Linked DNA regions of Caenorhabditis elegans. The protein of the gene in region 1 purifies or fractionates together with the protein of each later gene. This does not show direct contact. Each region holds a gene or a part of one and is shown in the gene's direction. Other genes may lie near its edges.

Region 1 (7,566 bases):
AAATGTTATAGGTGAAGCAAAAGAAGAAATTCTTATTGGCAGCTACTATTGGAGTTTGTTAGTGAAAGACACCGGAGATGGTTATACGACAGATGATACGAATACCAGTTGGAATGTGGGTTTTTATTCGGATTTGAATAAATTTTCAGCTAATTTAGAAGATGGTCTGAAAGTATATATATATTTTTTTTAATGAATTTTTTTGACAGTTTGGATTTATTTTTCCAGGAAAAGGATATTTTGAGTTTACTCCGAGTTTACAATTAAAACAGTCTTAAAACAGAATATCGTATTGCACCCGACTACTTAACGTTGAAACGTTATATCTTTGTTCATCTTTAAGATATCAATATATTATTAACTACGAAATTATAGAAAAAGAACTAACAAATATTTAGTTAGTTGACACTTTTTAAATAGGACAGACAATAATTGAGATATAAGCTGCCAAAGTTGAACAATGGGGTGCAATACTAATAGAGGAAATACGGTAACTGTTATCAAAGTTCTATTGCGTTAGTTCAATAAGTGGGATGTTTAAGTTAGAAATTTTCTAGCAAACTGCAAAAAACTTCAACTTTTTTGATTGCTACAATTCTAAAATTAAATCAATTCAAATTCCATAGGAATTTTTATTAGGGAGCTCAAATCTACAACACACTTCTCTCAACTGCTGTTAATCGAAATATTTCTGTAAGAATTGCCCAAACATATGAAGCTGGTGGTTACCCGGAAACCGACGATTTAGTTAAAAATTCCAATGGTAGAATTCGCGTTAGGAGCTTGGATTTTAGAAATTGGTAGATTAGTTTTTATGAAACAGCTCTATAACTGCAATTTTTCAGGTATATCGGAGGTATTCTCCACACGAAATCATGGGCAATTGATGGAAAACACTTTTACATTGGATCCGCAAACTTTGACTGGAGATCACTTACCAATGTCAAAGAACTTGGGGTTGCCGCATTTAATTGTCCGTGTTTGGCTAATGACTTGAAGAATTTGTTAGAAATTTATTGGAATATGGGAGCTCCTGGAGCAACGATCCCAAAACAATGGGATAATAGTCTGTCAACTCCAGCAAACCATCAAAGTCCAATGAGCGTTTTTCAGCCAACAGGTAGTCAGGCTATGTATATTTCAGTGAGTTTCATATTTCTGAAATAGTTTTCTAAAATATTGAAATTTAAGGCATCTCCTCCAGGATTCCAAGCGTGTGGAAGAGAAGATGATTTGACTTCAATGATAAAAACTATTGATGAAGCTCAAGAATATTTATATATGGCAGTAATGGACTATTCGCCTTCAACTTTGTACTTGAAAAATGCGAATAAATGGAAACCCGAGCTGGATAATGCTATCAGAAGAGCAGCCTTTGAAAGAGCAGTTCATGTTCGATTCATGGTTTCATTATGGCCACATACTTACTCAGATGTCTACGGTATTCTATATTCTCTGCAAGATATTTCAGATCATCTGCCATGCTACAAATGGGACTCTAACGGTGAGAATAACTCATTCTGGAATAATGGGGAAAAAATTTCAGACAAATGTATAAAGAAGGGATCAATCGAGATAAGATTTGTGCAGGTTCCTGAAATGCAATATGGAAAGATTCCATACGCAAGAGTTTATCATAATAAGTATTTTGTAACGGAAAGTGCCGCATATATTGGTGAGTTTTATTGAATAATTTTTAACAAACTCATGCCCGCCCGCCTCAACCAGCAACTAACATAAACTGGTTGCCGAAAAATACCAAAAATTTATCGGCTGCTTCAGCAACAAATCCGGCAAATCGCCGTTTTTTTTTTAATTTTGCAAACTCGGCAAACCGACAATTTGCCAATTTGACAAATTTGCCAAAAAAAAACCCTCTAATTATGGTTTTCTGAATTTTCTGGAAATATCAAAGTTTGAATTATAAATTTCTGAATCGAAACCATTTTCTACATTTTCCTGAAATAAGGAAGGAAATTAGACAAAAATATGCAGCTGCATGTAATTTGCTCTTTAAAAATTTCGTGAAATTGATTTTCGGCAAACTTCGAAATTTCTTTCAAATTCAAAAAAAAAACATTTCGGCAGCCAAAAAAACCGGCTATTTTGCTGATTGGCTGAATTTGCAGAACGGCAATTGTCGCCCACCACTAAACTTGTTAACACCCCCGGGCACCCGTAGAATGTAAAATTTATCTTTAATAGAATCAATTTAACATTTTCAGGAACATCAAATTGGTCATCAGACTATTGGCAGTATACAGCCGGTATCGGAATAGTGATCCGTGCGGATGATTTCACTTCCAAATCCAAACTCGTTCAACAATTCACTTCCGTGTTCGAAAGAGATTGGTCCTCAACTTACACAATTCCTTTGAAAAATTTTACAATATCCGGTAATAGGACTAGTAATTTCTATTGAGCTTACTCTTTCACCTCTCCTTCTGCTCACAAATGCCAATAAATCGTTCATCTGTGAAATTTCCGAAGCGTGTCTTAATTTGTAGTCCGGAAGCCCGGAAGTTCTAAAGTGTCGGGATGTCTGAGTTGGAAAATTTTGTTCACATTTTCAAATTTTATGTATTCATCTTCAATTTCAAGATCAGATGTTCATAAGAAAAGATCCAAATCCACGTCAACATCTCAGTTGACAAGAAGCAGCAAGAAAAGTAGTATTGAATCTAAATTCTTAATTCCTAATCACCTGCAGAAAAAAGAAAATGGAAATTCTAGAAGTACAACTGGTTTGGACATGCTTCTTAGTCAAAATAATGAACAAAAGCAAGTTGTTGAAAGGGTGAGTTTAGAACAACACTGTTCAGGAATTTCATAAAATTTCAGCGAGATCCGTACACTCAGGAAATTTTTGATCGAGTTTTTTCCGGAAAGCTCAGTAATATTCCAAAGCCTCAGAGCAAACTTGTCAGAGTTTTTACAAGGTAAATGAATAGAGATCAACTATGGTAATTGATAAGGTATTCAGCTCTACGTTCACCGATACAACTGTAGAACGAAACGCGCTAATGGAGGAGATTTATCCAAAGCTTAAGGAATACTGCCGTGAGACTTATGGTCTGGATTTTCAGGTTTTTTTTTTGGATTTTTATGAAAGTTTTTCCGATGGCTTGAAACCCGGAAATTTTGTCTACTTGAAGCCCGATAGCTGTAAAGAGTGAAAGTCCGGTAATTCTGAAGTCCCGAAGTTCTGTATGTAGGTTTGAAGCTCAGTAGTTCTGAAGGTTTGAAGTCCCGTAGTTCTGAAGGCTTAAAACTCAGAAGATCTGAAAAACCACGAAATTTCAGGTTGTCGATATGAGATGGGGAGTCCGAGACGAATCAACCGACGATCATATGACCACTAAACTTTGCTTGTCTGAAATTGCCAACTGTCAACGACTTTCAGTTGGCGCCAATTTTGTGGTTTTTCTTTGCCAAAAATATGGATACCGACCTATTCCGTCAGAAATCCTTTCTACAGAACTAGAAATGCTGAAGAGAACTTTACGAGAGGAGCATGAAGACATTTCACTATTAGACAATTGGTATATTGAAGACTCGAACTCTGTTCCGCCTATGTTTGTTCTACAGCAAATTAGTAGTATTCTAGTAAACTTTAATAACAAGGTAAAGAAGTTTGATATGTAGACCAAATATGAAGATTTTATTGATTTCAGAGAATTCCAAAACTTCAAGAACAAGATGCAAAGCAGTGGTGGGAGTGTGAAGCGAAAATGCAGCAACTGTTGAGAAAGGGCGCAAGAAGTTGTTATGAGAAAGGATTTTTAGATCGTGAAGCAATGCATAATTATTTCATGTCTGTGACGGAAAGAGAAGTTGTGCACGGAATATTAAAAGTTAAAAATCCGAATGAGCATTGTTTGTGTTACATTCGACACATCAACAATATTGCTTTGTCACAAATGAAGACAGCTTCCAAATTTGTGGATATTGCACACAATCATGTAAGTTTTCACAGTGTCGGTCAAAATATTCTGGTCAGAAACAGACGCGCCAGATGGCAGATGTTGTATTTTTTTCGAAAATTTTTTGATCAACTTCATTAAAACAGTTCAAAGCCAGCAACGAATCAAGTATTGGTACAAAGTTTCAGTGAACTCTTAATATGTTTATAGGTAAACTCTGAAGCTCAAAAACTCCTTGCAAATCTTCGTGATGAAAGAGTCCCTGCCAAGTTGGCAATGCAAAATATCAGACGATCAACTGTGGAATGGGTTGGAAGAGATGGAATCGACGTTCAATATCACGCTGAATACATTCGTCAATTTTGTACGGACTTTTATAAAAGTATCACCTCAATGGTCGATAACGCAATGGAAAAGCACGCGAGGTTTCGAGATCAACTATTCACAGAAGTCCTAACCCATTTAACAACTGGAATCACCGTCTCCAATATGTTTTTCGGAAGAAATGAACAACTGGATTGTGCCAAACAATATGTTCTCGGGAATTCAACACTTCCTATTATTCTTCAAGGAGAAAATGGGTGTGGGAAGACATCTCTGATGGCTAAAATTGCAACTAAGATCAGGGAATGGTATGATAATTCCTGCGAGCCAGTGGTTCTATTGAGATTCTTGGGGACGAGTCCGGATAGTTCAAATATTGCCCCACTCCTCACAAGTGTCTGTGATCAGGTAAAAACAATTATTAGTATTATTCTAAAAAGGAAAAAGACACATAAAATAGTCTAACATGGCCTAATATCATACTAAAACACCCAAAAAAAGAATTGGGCATTTCAGCCCTAAAGGAGCAGTTTTTAATAATCCCCCTCTGACGATACTCCACCTTCATAATTATTTTAAGCTTATCATTTTCCAGATTGCATCAAACTACGACGAATCGCTCAAAAATTCTTCCCCAACTGAGTTATCAAAACTCTTCCAACATTTCAAAAAGATAACCAACCTTGCCACTCGCGAAAAACCACTAGTAATAATTTTTGACAGTCTTGATCTTTTATCAAGAATCGATGGAGCTCATGAACTTCTTTGGTTTCCCCCTTCTTTACCTCCATTTGTCAAATTATTCGCATCCCTCACGCCGGGTGGAAGTCTGATTTACTCGAAAATGCAACGACTAATTGAAGACAAAAGACAGTATCTGATGGTTCCAAGTTTGGGAAAAGTATTTGGCATGCCAATTTTCAGATATTCATGATTAATTTCAGGATCTTGGATTTCAAGTTGTTCGAGAATGGTTGTCTGACAAAGGCCGTACACTTTCTGAAAGACAATGGAATACGGTATCTAAGGCACTTGATAAATGTACATTGCCTCTTTTTGTGAAATTAATTTATGCAACTGTAGCAAGATGGAAGTCATACTCTCGACCGCAAGAGACGATACTTTTCTCATCGTTACAAGAAAGTATCAACGTTTTATTTCATAGAACCGAGAGTCAGCATGGTAAACTATAGTTTAAAAACTTGTTCTGTCGGAGCTTCATTCAAACTTTTTTTCAGGAAAACTACTCGTATCCCATGCTTTATCCTACATTTCTGCTGCTCGCTCTGGAATCAGTGACTCTGAAGTAGAGGATTTGATCTCTCTCGACGACAAAGTACTCGATGATATTTTTCAATACCATCTTCCCCCGGTGAGAAGGATTCCACCTTTGTTATGGAGTCGTATCAGATCCGACCTTCCTGGTTACCTATCGGAAAGAGCTGCTGATGGAGTCATTGTTCTAAATTGGTACCATCAACAGTTCCGACAAGTTGCGATTGAAAGATATTTCAAAAATGTGAACCATTTGGAGACTTGTCATTCTGCAATGGCGGAATATTTTCTTGGAGTATGGGGTGGAGTACCAAAGCCTTATCAATACACTGAAATGCAGAAACAAAGATTTGGAGTCACTGAAAATGAAGGTTAACTCGAGCTCGCTTTCCTGATTGTCTAGCATAAATTTCCAGGACTGGCTGACAGAAAAGTACCGAAACAGCCGAATGTATTTTCTTCGAAAGATGGAAACCATAGGTACAACACAAGAAAATTGAACGAACTACCGTATCACCTTCTGAGATCCGGAAGAGTCGATGAACTGTTGACACTCTGTCTTTTTGATTACGAGTTTTTGCATGCAAAGGTTGCTGAAAAATCATGATAGAGATTAAAGTTGAAATTTCGATTCCAGGTATCAAGTTTTCCATTGCAATCTCTTATTGCCGATTATGAAGATGCTATTCAAAATGTTCGAGATGTCGAGATATCTCGTCAACTTTCTCTCGCAGTAGACGCTTTAAGACTTTCAGCGAGTATATTGAGGTGGGCCTTTTTAGGGGAACTGTATATTTATACATATTGAAACTTAAGAAAAATAATTTTTAAAAACTTTAATTCTGTCAAATCTAGAGAAAATCAATGAAAAATCGATGAATATTCAGCAGCAGCAGCAGTAGTTTGACAGTACAATACTCATTAAAGGCTCACTTCTTGTAGTCAACAAAAAATTTTGTCGTGTCGAGACCGTGTACCGTATTCAAAATTTGACATCTGAGTAATAACACCCAACGTATAATATTCCAGCCGCAACCCGTCCATGCTAGCCTTCGAGCTTCTTGGACGACTTCTACCTCTTGTCGCCACTAACAAATACGTCAGCAAGCTCCTTATCAAGTAATACTAGTTCAAAAAATTTTTAAAAAAATAAAAATTATTATCCAGATGTGACAAAGAAGGTCCCCAACACAATTCGTTTGTACCGGCTCACCATTGTTTCCACGCCCCGGGAGGCCCTCTCAAGTTTTCGCTAGAAGAACATCAGTTTGCTGTTTTTGGAATGCAATTGACCTCTGATCGGAAGCTTCTGGTATCAACATCAACTCAGATTATTGTCTGGGATGTGTCTACAGGTACTTTTATAACAGTTGAGAAAAAACTTAAGAACTTGAATTCGCAGGAGATATTGCTCGAGTTGTTAATCCAAATATCGATGGAGTCTTCTTCGGACTGGCTGTATCAGAAAATGATAAATTTGCCGCTGCCTACACAAATAACAATCAAGTTATTGTTGCTTCATTAGTTACGGGGGAATTTACTGCAATTGATCCAGAACCATTCGTGACACAGATGGAACTACAAGCGGTAAGATAAAACTAATTAGTATTGCACCAGACTGCTTTACTTTAAAAGGGAATATCTCATAGTCAGTTTGTTTCAAATTAATTAACAATAAATAACAATTTAACAACAAAATAGAAAGAGAACTAACAAATATTTAGTTAGTTAACAATTTTTTAATAGAACAAACGAGAACTTAGCCATAAGCTGTCAAAGTTTAAAAATAGGGTGCAATAGAGAAAATACGGTAACTTTTTTGATTTACAATTGGAAAAGTTTTTTAGATTCGATTCGTTGGCAACAATAATGTGTTAATGTGGTCCAAATCCCATTACATGATCTACACAGTTAATGGGAATCTTGTGAGCCAAGGATCTGAAAGTGAAGGAGAACATAATGTAGATGATCACAAAAATGAAAGTTAACATCTAATCAAATAATTTTCAGAACATTGTTCACATATTCTACCGGGATGCCTTGA
Region 2 (8,614 bases), on another chromosome or scaffold:
AAAATCGTGAAATAATCTCAAATATTCGAATTTTCCTTCAATTAAAACCACCAGAAAATGAGGAAAAATAGCGATTTTTGAGTTTCACTCAAAATATCTCGGCTCAAAGAGCTCCAATCTTTCTGAAATAAAAAATACAGAGGTGGGGCAAGCTTTTTGAAGAGACAGCAAAAAACCGCATCAAAATCCATCCACCCACCGTCAAGTTACACGCGCGTTTTCAAAGTGGAATTTTTTTGTCGACAAAAAGGGGCGGAGCGAGGGTCACTTTTGTCGGATTTTGAAGCTTAATATCTCGGCTCCTGTAAATCGAAATTGGCTCAAAATTCACAAGAAACCTTATCCTGCTACCTTCCTGCTGTCATTAAATTTTCGTGAGCTTAGGGAGAAAACTGACAAAACGCCAAACTTTCAAATTTTAAAAAACAGTTGAGGGTCATTTTGAAAACACCTTAAGCTCCATAACTCGGCGAGTTTTAATGGAATCAATTTGAAATTTTACACGAAAGCTTCTTGGTGGTCTATACGCCTCTGTGTAAAATTTCGCTTTGATCGGCCAACGGGAACCCTTTGAAAAATGAAAAAAACGCTGTAATCCTAACCCTAAAAGCTGACGCTCCCCCACTGACGCCAAGCCTAAGCCTAAGCCTAAGCCTAAACCTAAGCCTAATATAAGTCTAAATCTGAACCTAAGCCTAAGCCTAAGCCTACGCCTAAGTCCTACAATTTGCAGACTTTGGCGAAGGTTTTAAAATTTGGCAATATATCCTCGGCAATTCCCGACAGCTTCTTCCCCAAGTTTGGGCCTTTTCAGCTTCTTAACCAACTCTTGCCAACTTCTAACCCAGAGTACGGCCAAGTCTTACCCAACTTCAACAATTCTAGCGTAAACTCCCTCGCCCGTGTCTTGCCCAAGTCTTAGCCAAGTCTTGCCAACTTCTTACCCAAGTTTGCAGATGTAAAGAACGAACAAGATTCCGAAATCCCGCACGCGCAATGTTTAGCGTAAATCGAGATTTTGTCTTTTGAGTAATTTGTATCTAAAACAGAGGAATTTCGATGTAATTGAAAGAATTCACAAGAAAACTTGTCCCTTCAAAGGCAAATTCTCAATATTTTTCTCTGATGGCTAACATTGTTAAAAAATGTACGAACAAAGTTTGCTTTTTATTGCCATTTTGTCTAATAAACCGTGTAATTTATCTAAAAATAAAAATAAAAGTTATCTTCAGGATAATTCTTCTCCTAGTCAGTCCAATAGTCAAATAATAGTCAGTCATACCAATGCATCAAATTTTGAATTTTTCTAAAACCGAACTGTTTCTTTGAAATGTAAACTTTTAAAAAATTGAAAGACAAGAAACAAACATGAATTACAGTAATTCTGTAAATTCTGTACTTAGGATCATTAGGGAGCACACTTGAAAACAAATGAAATAAGGTATGTGAGAATACCGTATCAATCCGATATGTCTGGTACTTCCTCAAAAATATCTATCAGAATATGAGTACGATAGTGTGCATCTTTTCGCGCGACCATCATGGCTCAGCAGGTAAGACTTCGGCACAACGGGAAATGAGATCAAAGTTCAACACACAGGTATAAATTGGGTAAGGAATAGGCAAAACTTGGGTAAGACTTGGGTAAGACTAGGGCGACGCCTCGGGACGACGAGGCAGTCGACGACTTTTTTCATTTTTGAGGCGGCGCCCAACTTTTGCCCAAGGTTTACCCAAGTCTTGGCAACTCCTTATAAATGTTTTTATTTTTTGGGCAAGGCTTGGGTAAGAAGTTGCGAAGCCTTGGGTAGGAAGCTGGCGGCAAACGCCGAGTCATAGCGGAAATTTTTCGGAAATTTTAAAATAATTTTATCATTTTTCGTTGCTTTTTTCAAACCTCTCGGCAACTTTTGTCATTTTCCAGAAATATTTCAAAAATTTCCGGCAAATATTTTACTTTTCAAACGACTATAGTTAGTCAGATAGTTGGTAAGTTTTTTGGCAGTTGTTGGAATTTTTTGAAAAGTTCGAGACAAAATTTGAAATTTCAGCTGAAAATTGGTATTGTTTTTCAAAATTTTGAACCGTCATTACTTTTTTTTGGATACATTTTCCGAACGCCAAGCTTTCCCAATTTTAAGTTGCATAAATCCCCAGAAAAATTCTCCTCCAGCTTCATTTCCCTCCCTAACCGAAACCCAATAGTCCTTGGCAAATCCACCAAAACGCGCAATCAAACACAGACCTACAGCTTTTCCTTATTCACCGCCGCCGCTGCCGAACCCCCGCAAAAAATATGGGAAATTGAGAAGAGATTTAGACAAACACACACACACACCAAAAATGATGCGCAGAATAAAAAAAAAGAGGGAGAGCGAATTGGCAAAAAACTTGAAACACCTAGACGTTTTACGTAATACCCTACACATTAACTACACATTGTCAGGGGAGTAGTTTTATGGTTCTGTTTTTCTGATGCGGTGGGGGGGGGGGGGGGGGGTCCTGCCTACCTACCTGACTGTCTGTTAACATGCTTGAAAAGCAACCTATACTTGCCTCAAGCCCTCACGCCTGCCTACTACCAAAGTCTTGCCTTTATTTCTGTATACTTCAAATTATTCTATATGTACAGTTGACGCCATAATTTAGAAAATAGGTGGTAGGCAGGTGCGCAGGCATGAAGTAGGTATAATATTTCTGCCTCTGATCATCTCCACATAATCACCAACTTCTTTTTATCCTTGTCATAAGGCCCAATGATTAGCGATTTGATACGCCACTTGGCTTTTCCAAAAAATTTACAATTTTCTGTTTAAATCCCCGGGTATCTGAAATTCCTGCCTTTTTCCAATATTTTTGTTTTCTCGATTTTCAAAAATTTCCACATTTTCTCATCTCAGACATCTGCCTGTAAATTCCTGACTTTTAGCCAGTCTTATCTATTTGAAAATCGTCACCTTTGTGATCTTCGTCATTCGTTTTTGCGCCCATGCATTTTTTTTGGAAAGATGTAAATTTCGCTTCCACCTATCGCTTACTGTGTAACTTTGAAAGCTCGCTAGTTTGAAACTATGTATTCTGCGTGCTGAGAATCCCTAACAGTACTCCTTCCCTCAAAGTTCCATTGTACTTCAACAATACCCCTACAGTAATCTTCCAATTCTCTTACAGTAATCATACAGTACCCCAACACTAACCATGCAGAACTGCTACAGTAACCCTACACTATTTCCACAGTAACCATACAGTACTCCTACAGTATTACCGGTACAGAGAGTGTAGATAGTTAGAGAGTGACAGACATCCGGGACCCAATGGGGCGGGGCGCGCGGAAGAGACGATTTGTGTCGATTTACGAACTTTTCCTCATTGTCATCATTTCGTAAATCGAGACAAATCGTCTCTTCCGCGCGCCCCGCCCCATTGGGTCCCGGATGTCTGTCACTCTCTAACTATCTACACTCTCTGTACCGGTAATAATCCTCCAGTTTTCTTACAGTAATCTTACAGTACCCTCACAGTAATCTTACAGTATTCTCACAATAATCCTACAATACTCTTACAGTAGTTCTGAATTACTCCTACATTAGTTCTACATGACTCCTACAGTAATCCTACATTACCCATACACTAACCATATACATTACTTCTACAGTAACCATACAATACTCTTACAGTAACCCTGCAGTACCCCTACGGGGCACCTACAGTAATCTTACAGTAATCCTATTTTCTTTAAGGATACCTATCAAAATGGTAAAAAAGCACAAACACGAGTGCCAAAAACCTCCGCCGCTCCCAACAACACCTCCACCACCTCCAGTCGGGGAGCTCCCAACACAGTACAAGAGGATGTCCTCAACCTTACAGCACGTGCAGCCACCTCGACGTTCGAACCACGCATATTTATTGGTACCATTTGTCATCACAGTCGGGCTCATGTGGTTCGCATATTCACAATGGAAGAATCCGCCGCAAGCTCAACTGCAACCATCTGTGGTTACTGATAGGTGTGAGTTGTTTGGTTTAAATTAATAGTGTCAACTACAGTACTCCTATAGTAACCCTATGCAGTAAACCTTAGTACAGTTGTCAACTATAGTACTTTTACAATACCCATACAGTAAACCTAGTGTAGTAATCCCGAGTACATTAGTCAGCAACAGTACTCCTACGGTAACCCTATACAGTAATACTCAGTACTCCTACAGCAACCCCGTAAGGTAAACCCTAGTACAGTACGCCCACATTCATTGTACAGTAATTGTGCCTAGCAAACACTAGTAACTACAGTACTCCTACAGTAACCCTATATAGTAATCCCAAGTACAGTACCACTACAGTAACCCTGTCACAAGTACTATAATCAATTTATGCTAACCTCCTCGAAACAAATTCCTGATGATTGATCAAGCCCGTATTAGGCGAAATCGAAATTTTCTCAAATTAGCTGAAATTTCCTAATTTCCCTCTCCCTTTTACGGTTTAAAATTTTTGATCACCAAACCACAGAAACACTACAAACAAAACCGGGGACAAAATTGCAAAAAAAAAAATCAATTTTTTCAGACAGACCTCGAGTCGCCTGGATGTCGGACCTCATCAAATCCCTGCCACCATTTGCGCAGGGGTATCGGGCTGAGAAGGTAAGGCGCAGATAAACATTGGACAAAAGTCGCCCGCTACCGCCCCCGCTACCGCCCCGCTATCGCCCCGCTACCGCCCCGCTATCGCCCCGCTACCGCCCCGCTACCGCCCCGCTACCGCCCCGCTACCGCCCCGCTACCGCCCACTGACACCCCGCTACCGCCCCGCTACAGCCCCGCTACCGCCCCGCTACCGCCCCGCTACCGCCCCGCTACCGCCCCGCTACCGCCCACTGACACCCCGCTACCGCCCACTGACACCCCGCTACCGCCCGCTACCGCCCCGTTACAGCCCCGCTACCGCCCACTGGCACCCCGCTACCGCCCGCTACCGCCCACTGACACCCCGCTACCGCCCACTGACACCCCGCTACCGCCCACTGACACCCCGCTACCGCCCGCTACCGCCCCGCTATAGCTCCGCTACCGCCCACTGGCACCCCCGCTACCGCCCGCTACCGCCCACTGACACCCCGCTACCGCTCTGCTGACCGAAATACTTTAAATGCGCATATCTCGGCGGAGATTAAAGGTAACAAAAATTTGTCAACTGACAAAATATTCCAAAATTTTCAAATTAAATTTTCAGTTTGTCCCAAAGTACAAACTATCGGGATGCACCATAAACGGAAACTTTCCCGAAATGAATACAGCCATATTTTGCTATTTGTACAATTCAACGCTATACACTTCGGCGAATAAGACAATTTCTCAGGATATTGGAGAAACTGGGTAAGAATTTTATAAGTTATCTAGGTGCTCTACAATTAGAGATTCAGATTATGCTCCAAAATCGCTGAATTCAATATGAACGACTGGAAGCTGTGGGATAAAATTAATGACGATTTTCGAAGGATTGTATTTATTCAGCATCCGTTGGAACGATTTGTTAGGTCATATAAGAAGTTGTGTAAAATGTGAGTTTTATTGATTTTTACGAAAAAAAAATCAATAATTATCGATTTTTTTTTTGCAGTGAGCGAAAATGCTTCAACTGCCAGGACAATCTCAGTTGCTTCATGCGGAAATTGTTGAAGCAGCACGAAAAAACAGCGGAGGGGCTTGCAGGACCAGTCAGGACGTTTATCACAAATCATTTCAGCCCTCAGACTTGGTAAGTACGGTATTTTGAAAAAAGTCGGGAATGCAAGCGCGCTCCATTGCAAATTAGCTGAAAATTTGGAAAATTGGCTTTAAAATCGATTTTTAAGTTGAAAGATTAGAAAAATAGCTGGAAAATGAAGAGAAACGTTCAAAAAATATGTAAAATATTTTAAATTTAAAGAAAAAGTAAAATATTAGTGCACTTTTGGAGAAAAACTACTAAAATTTCATCAAAAATTCGTAATTTTTTATTGTTTCCCGTCCAAAAAGGTTTTATTCTCACTTTTTATGCCAATAAAAAACCAAAATTTGTACTGAAAATACCAAAAAACCACATTTTTAACATCAATAAATGCAATTTCCCCTTTAAATCACCTCCCCCACGCTGCGTTTCCTCCTACCACACGCTCTCTCCCCGCAGCGTCCACGTAAAACATAGCGCGCCGCGGAACCCGCAAGTTGTCCGCCGCGTCGGTTTATTACGTTCGCGAGCCTTCTTTCTTTAATCACGTCTGGTGAGGATGAAAACAGGACAGGTTTCGCTAAAATATTACCGAATGCCAATATGTCGAGACACCTTGGCTGTCTGAGGACGTTTTAATAATAAATTTTGGAAGTTAGCTTTTTAGCAAAGTGTGTTTATTATTTCCAGGAATTGCCATTTCAATCGGGAGTTTCAAAAGATTCGTACAGTGAAGATTGGCGGGAATCAAACTGAACGGGCGGAGTTCTCCGATAACCTGAATGAAATCCTTGGGGAGCAGGGAGTTGCTCAAGAGGTTCAGCGGATTATTAAGGAGGAAGTTTTGAGTAGGTTTTTTAGTCTGAAGCGTCCGAAAATCCTGATTTTCAGAAATTCCCCTGGAGCTCTCACCGGACGAACGTGAGCTCGCCGTAGCCATAAAACGAGATCATGACGATCTTTACCGACTATTCCGTTATCTGTACGAACACGACTTTATCGTGTTTGGATACCCATTTTAAACAAGTTCTCAAAAAAAAAAAAAACCAAAAGCAGCTGACATTTCACGGGTTCCCCATTTCCATACTTTTTGCGTTGTTGTTCCATCGATTTCTGGTGCTTTTCCTCAATAAATGATTCGAATTTTGAATTTTAAGGTTTATTTCTTATCAAAAATGACATAATCACTATCAATGTTTGTGTTGTGCTGTGTGGGCTTTTTCAAAACGTTTGGGAATTTGATTTTTACAAATAGTTCAGGTTTACTATTCTAAAGTGCAACACGGTTTTGCAGAAGATCAACATTTTTGCAGAATTTTTTGCGGAGGTTTTTTAATGATGTAGAAATTTTAAATTACTGTAATTTTGTTCATTTTTGAGGTTTAGCAAATGCGCTCTAATGCAAAATTTTGAAATTTTTGTTAAAACCCCAGCTACTTGAGACTGTTGTAGTTTTTTAAAATTCAATTTTTAGCACTTTGCTAATTTTCAAATTTTTTTAAAATCAACTAATAGACAATTTCAAGTACTACAATTAGTTAAAAATTAATGGCCAAACTAGATATTTCTAAATTTTTTAAAATCGTAGATCAAAAATGCTCACGGAGCAAAATGCTCCTCCCAGTACTGTAGCCAAGTGTCTAGCCAAACAAAATAAGGAATCAGTTTGAAAATCAACTGATATTATCAGTTGACATGTGCACATTTTTCTCTATTAAATTACCACTATACTACACTTTTTTTCCGTTTTTAAGGAAATTTTTTGATATGCATTAATTCACAGAGGTTCAGTATTTTGAGTGTAGTTGAAAAAAACAAAATTTTTTCAGTATGAAAATTTCAGTTTTTAATTAAAAAAAATGAAATAAAATTTTTTTGAAATTTTTTTCAGATTTTTTCCAAAAAATTTATTTAGTTTTTTTTTTTTAACTTTTTGAATATTTTAACATAAAAACTCTTCAATTTCACTGTTATATTATATGGTTAATTTTAATTTTTAAATATAATTTTAAAATTTTCAGAAAAAAATGGGGATCGCTGTGTACCTCCTTGCTTTGGTGGTAATATATGTTGTGTTTAATTTGAGTAAAATTTTGAAATTTGTGAAGGTAAGTACATTCTTATTAAAGAACATAAATTTGAAAAAAAAAATTCAAAAAATTTCAAAAATTTCCAAAAGAAATTTTTTTTTGAAAAATATCCAAAAATTTTTTTCCACTTTTTCAAAGATCGAAATTTCAAAAATATCCTTAAAAGTATGTATAAAAACCGTAATAAACATTTTTTTCAGGAAAGAATGCGGCTCTACCATCTTATGTCCAAAATCGATGGTCCTCTGGCTTTACCCCTGCTAGGCACAACTTTTCAGTTCAAAATGGATCCAGTTGGTGAGGTTTTTTTTTAAATTTGTTCAAAAAACTACAGAATTTTATTCTAGAATTTGAATCACCGAAACAAAAAAAAATGTTTTAAAAACAAATTTCCAGAATTCGCGCTTCAACTCTACAACTGGGGATTGGAGTACTCCACAAAAGGCTCATCCTTAGCTGCTTTCTGGATGGGACCATACCCAATGGTCATCGTTTTGACACCTGAAGCTAATAAGGTACAAACCCGTAATATGTCGGGCGCACAAAATTTTCACATTTTTCAGAAAGTTCTCGAAAGCAATGCCCTGATCAACAAGAGTAGTGAATATGACATTTTCCTTCCGTGGCTCGGAACGGGGCTTCTCCTGGCGAGCGGTGAGAAATGGAGAGGTCGGCGAAAGATGATGACCCCATCGTTTCATTTCAATGTTCTTATCGATTTTCAAGTGGTTTTCAATAGTCAAAGCATGGTATGTTATACCGAAAAGCAGGAGTTTGCAAATTGGGATTTTCAGATTTTGCTAGAACAAATC

Evidence for each region. The genes of interacting proteins can lie anywhere in the genome.
Region 2: the proteins of T05C3.2 (region 1) and F01D5.10 fractionate together in Caenorhabditis elegans (co-fractionation; one large-scale study listed by BioGRID). This does not show direct contact.

The regions. Positions count from the first base shown.
Region 1 is NC_003283.11:5,491,169-5,498,734, forward strand, and holds the start of T05C3.2 (NACHT domain-containing protein), read left to right. Parts: upstream 1-2,578; coding exon 2,579-2,797; intron 2,798-2,841; coding exon 2,842-2,939; intron 2,940-2,983; coding exon 2,984-3,086; intron 3,087-3,303; coding exon 3,304-3,624; intron 3,625-3,674; coding exon 3,675-3,962; intron 3,963-4,133; coding exon 4,134-4,655; intron 4,656-4,842; coding exon 4,843-5,148; intron 5,149-5,191; coding exon 5,192-5,429; intron 5,430-5,485; coding exon 5,486-5,893; intron 5,894-5,938; coding exon 5,939-6,111; intron 6,112-6,159; coding exon 6,160-6,290; intron 6,291-6,551; coding exon 6,552-6,641; intron 6,642-6,689; coding exon 6,690-6,877; intron 6,878-6,924; coding exon 6,925-7,109; intron 7,110-7,369; coding exon 7,370-7,483; intron 7,484-7,532; coding exon 7,533-7,566. Other genes in the region: T05C3.6 (PLD phosphodiesterase domain-containing protein), read left to right, coding at 12-115, 640-800, 846-1,143, 1,192-1,504, 1,547-1,675, 2,226-2,422.
Region 2 is NC_003280.10:14,016,085-14,024,698, reverse strand, and holds F01D5.10 (Carbohydrate sulfotransferase), read left to right. Parts: upstream 1-3,368; 5' UTR 3,369-3,473; intron 3,474-3,740; 5' UTR 3,741-3,753; coding exon 3,754-4,012; intron 4,013-4,569; coding exon 4,570-4,646; intron 4,647-5,235; coding exon 5,236-5,378; intron 5,379-5,425; coding exon 5,426-5,563; intron 5,564-5,622; coding exon 5,623-5,760; intron 5,761-6,257; exon of another isoform or gene 6,258-6,346; intron 6,347-6,402; coding exon 6,403-6,560; intron 6,561-6,603; coding exon 6,604-6,734; 3' UTR 6,735-6,860; downstream 6,861-8,614. Other genes in the region: cyp-37A1 (CYtochrome P450 family), read left to right, coding at 7,740-7,820, 8,003-8,099, 8,199-8,317, 8,366-8,551, 8,597-8,614.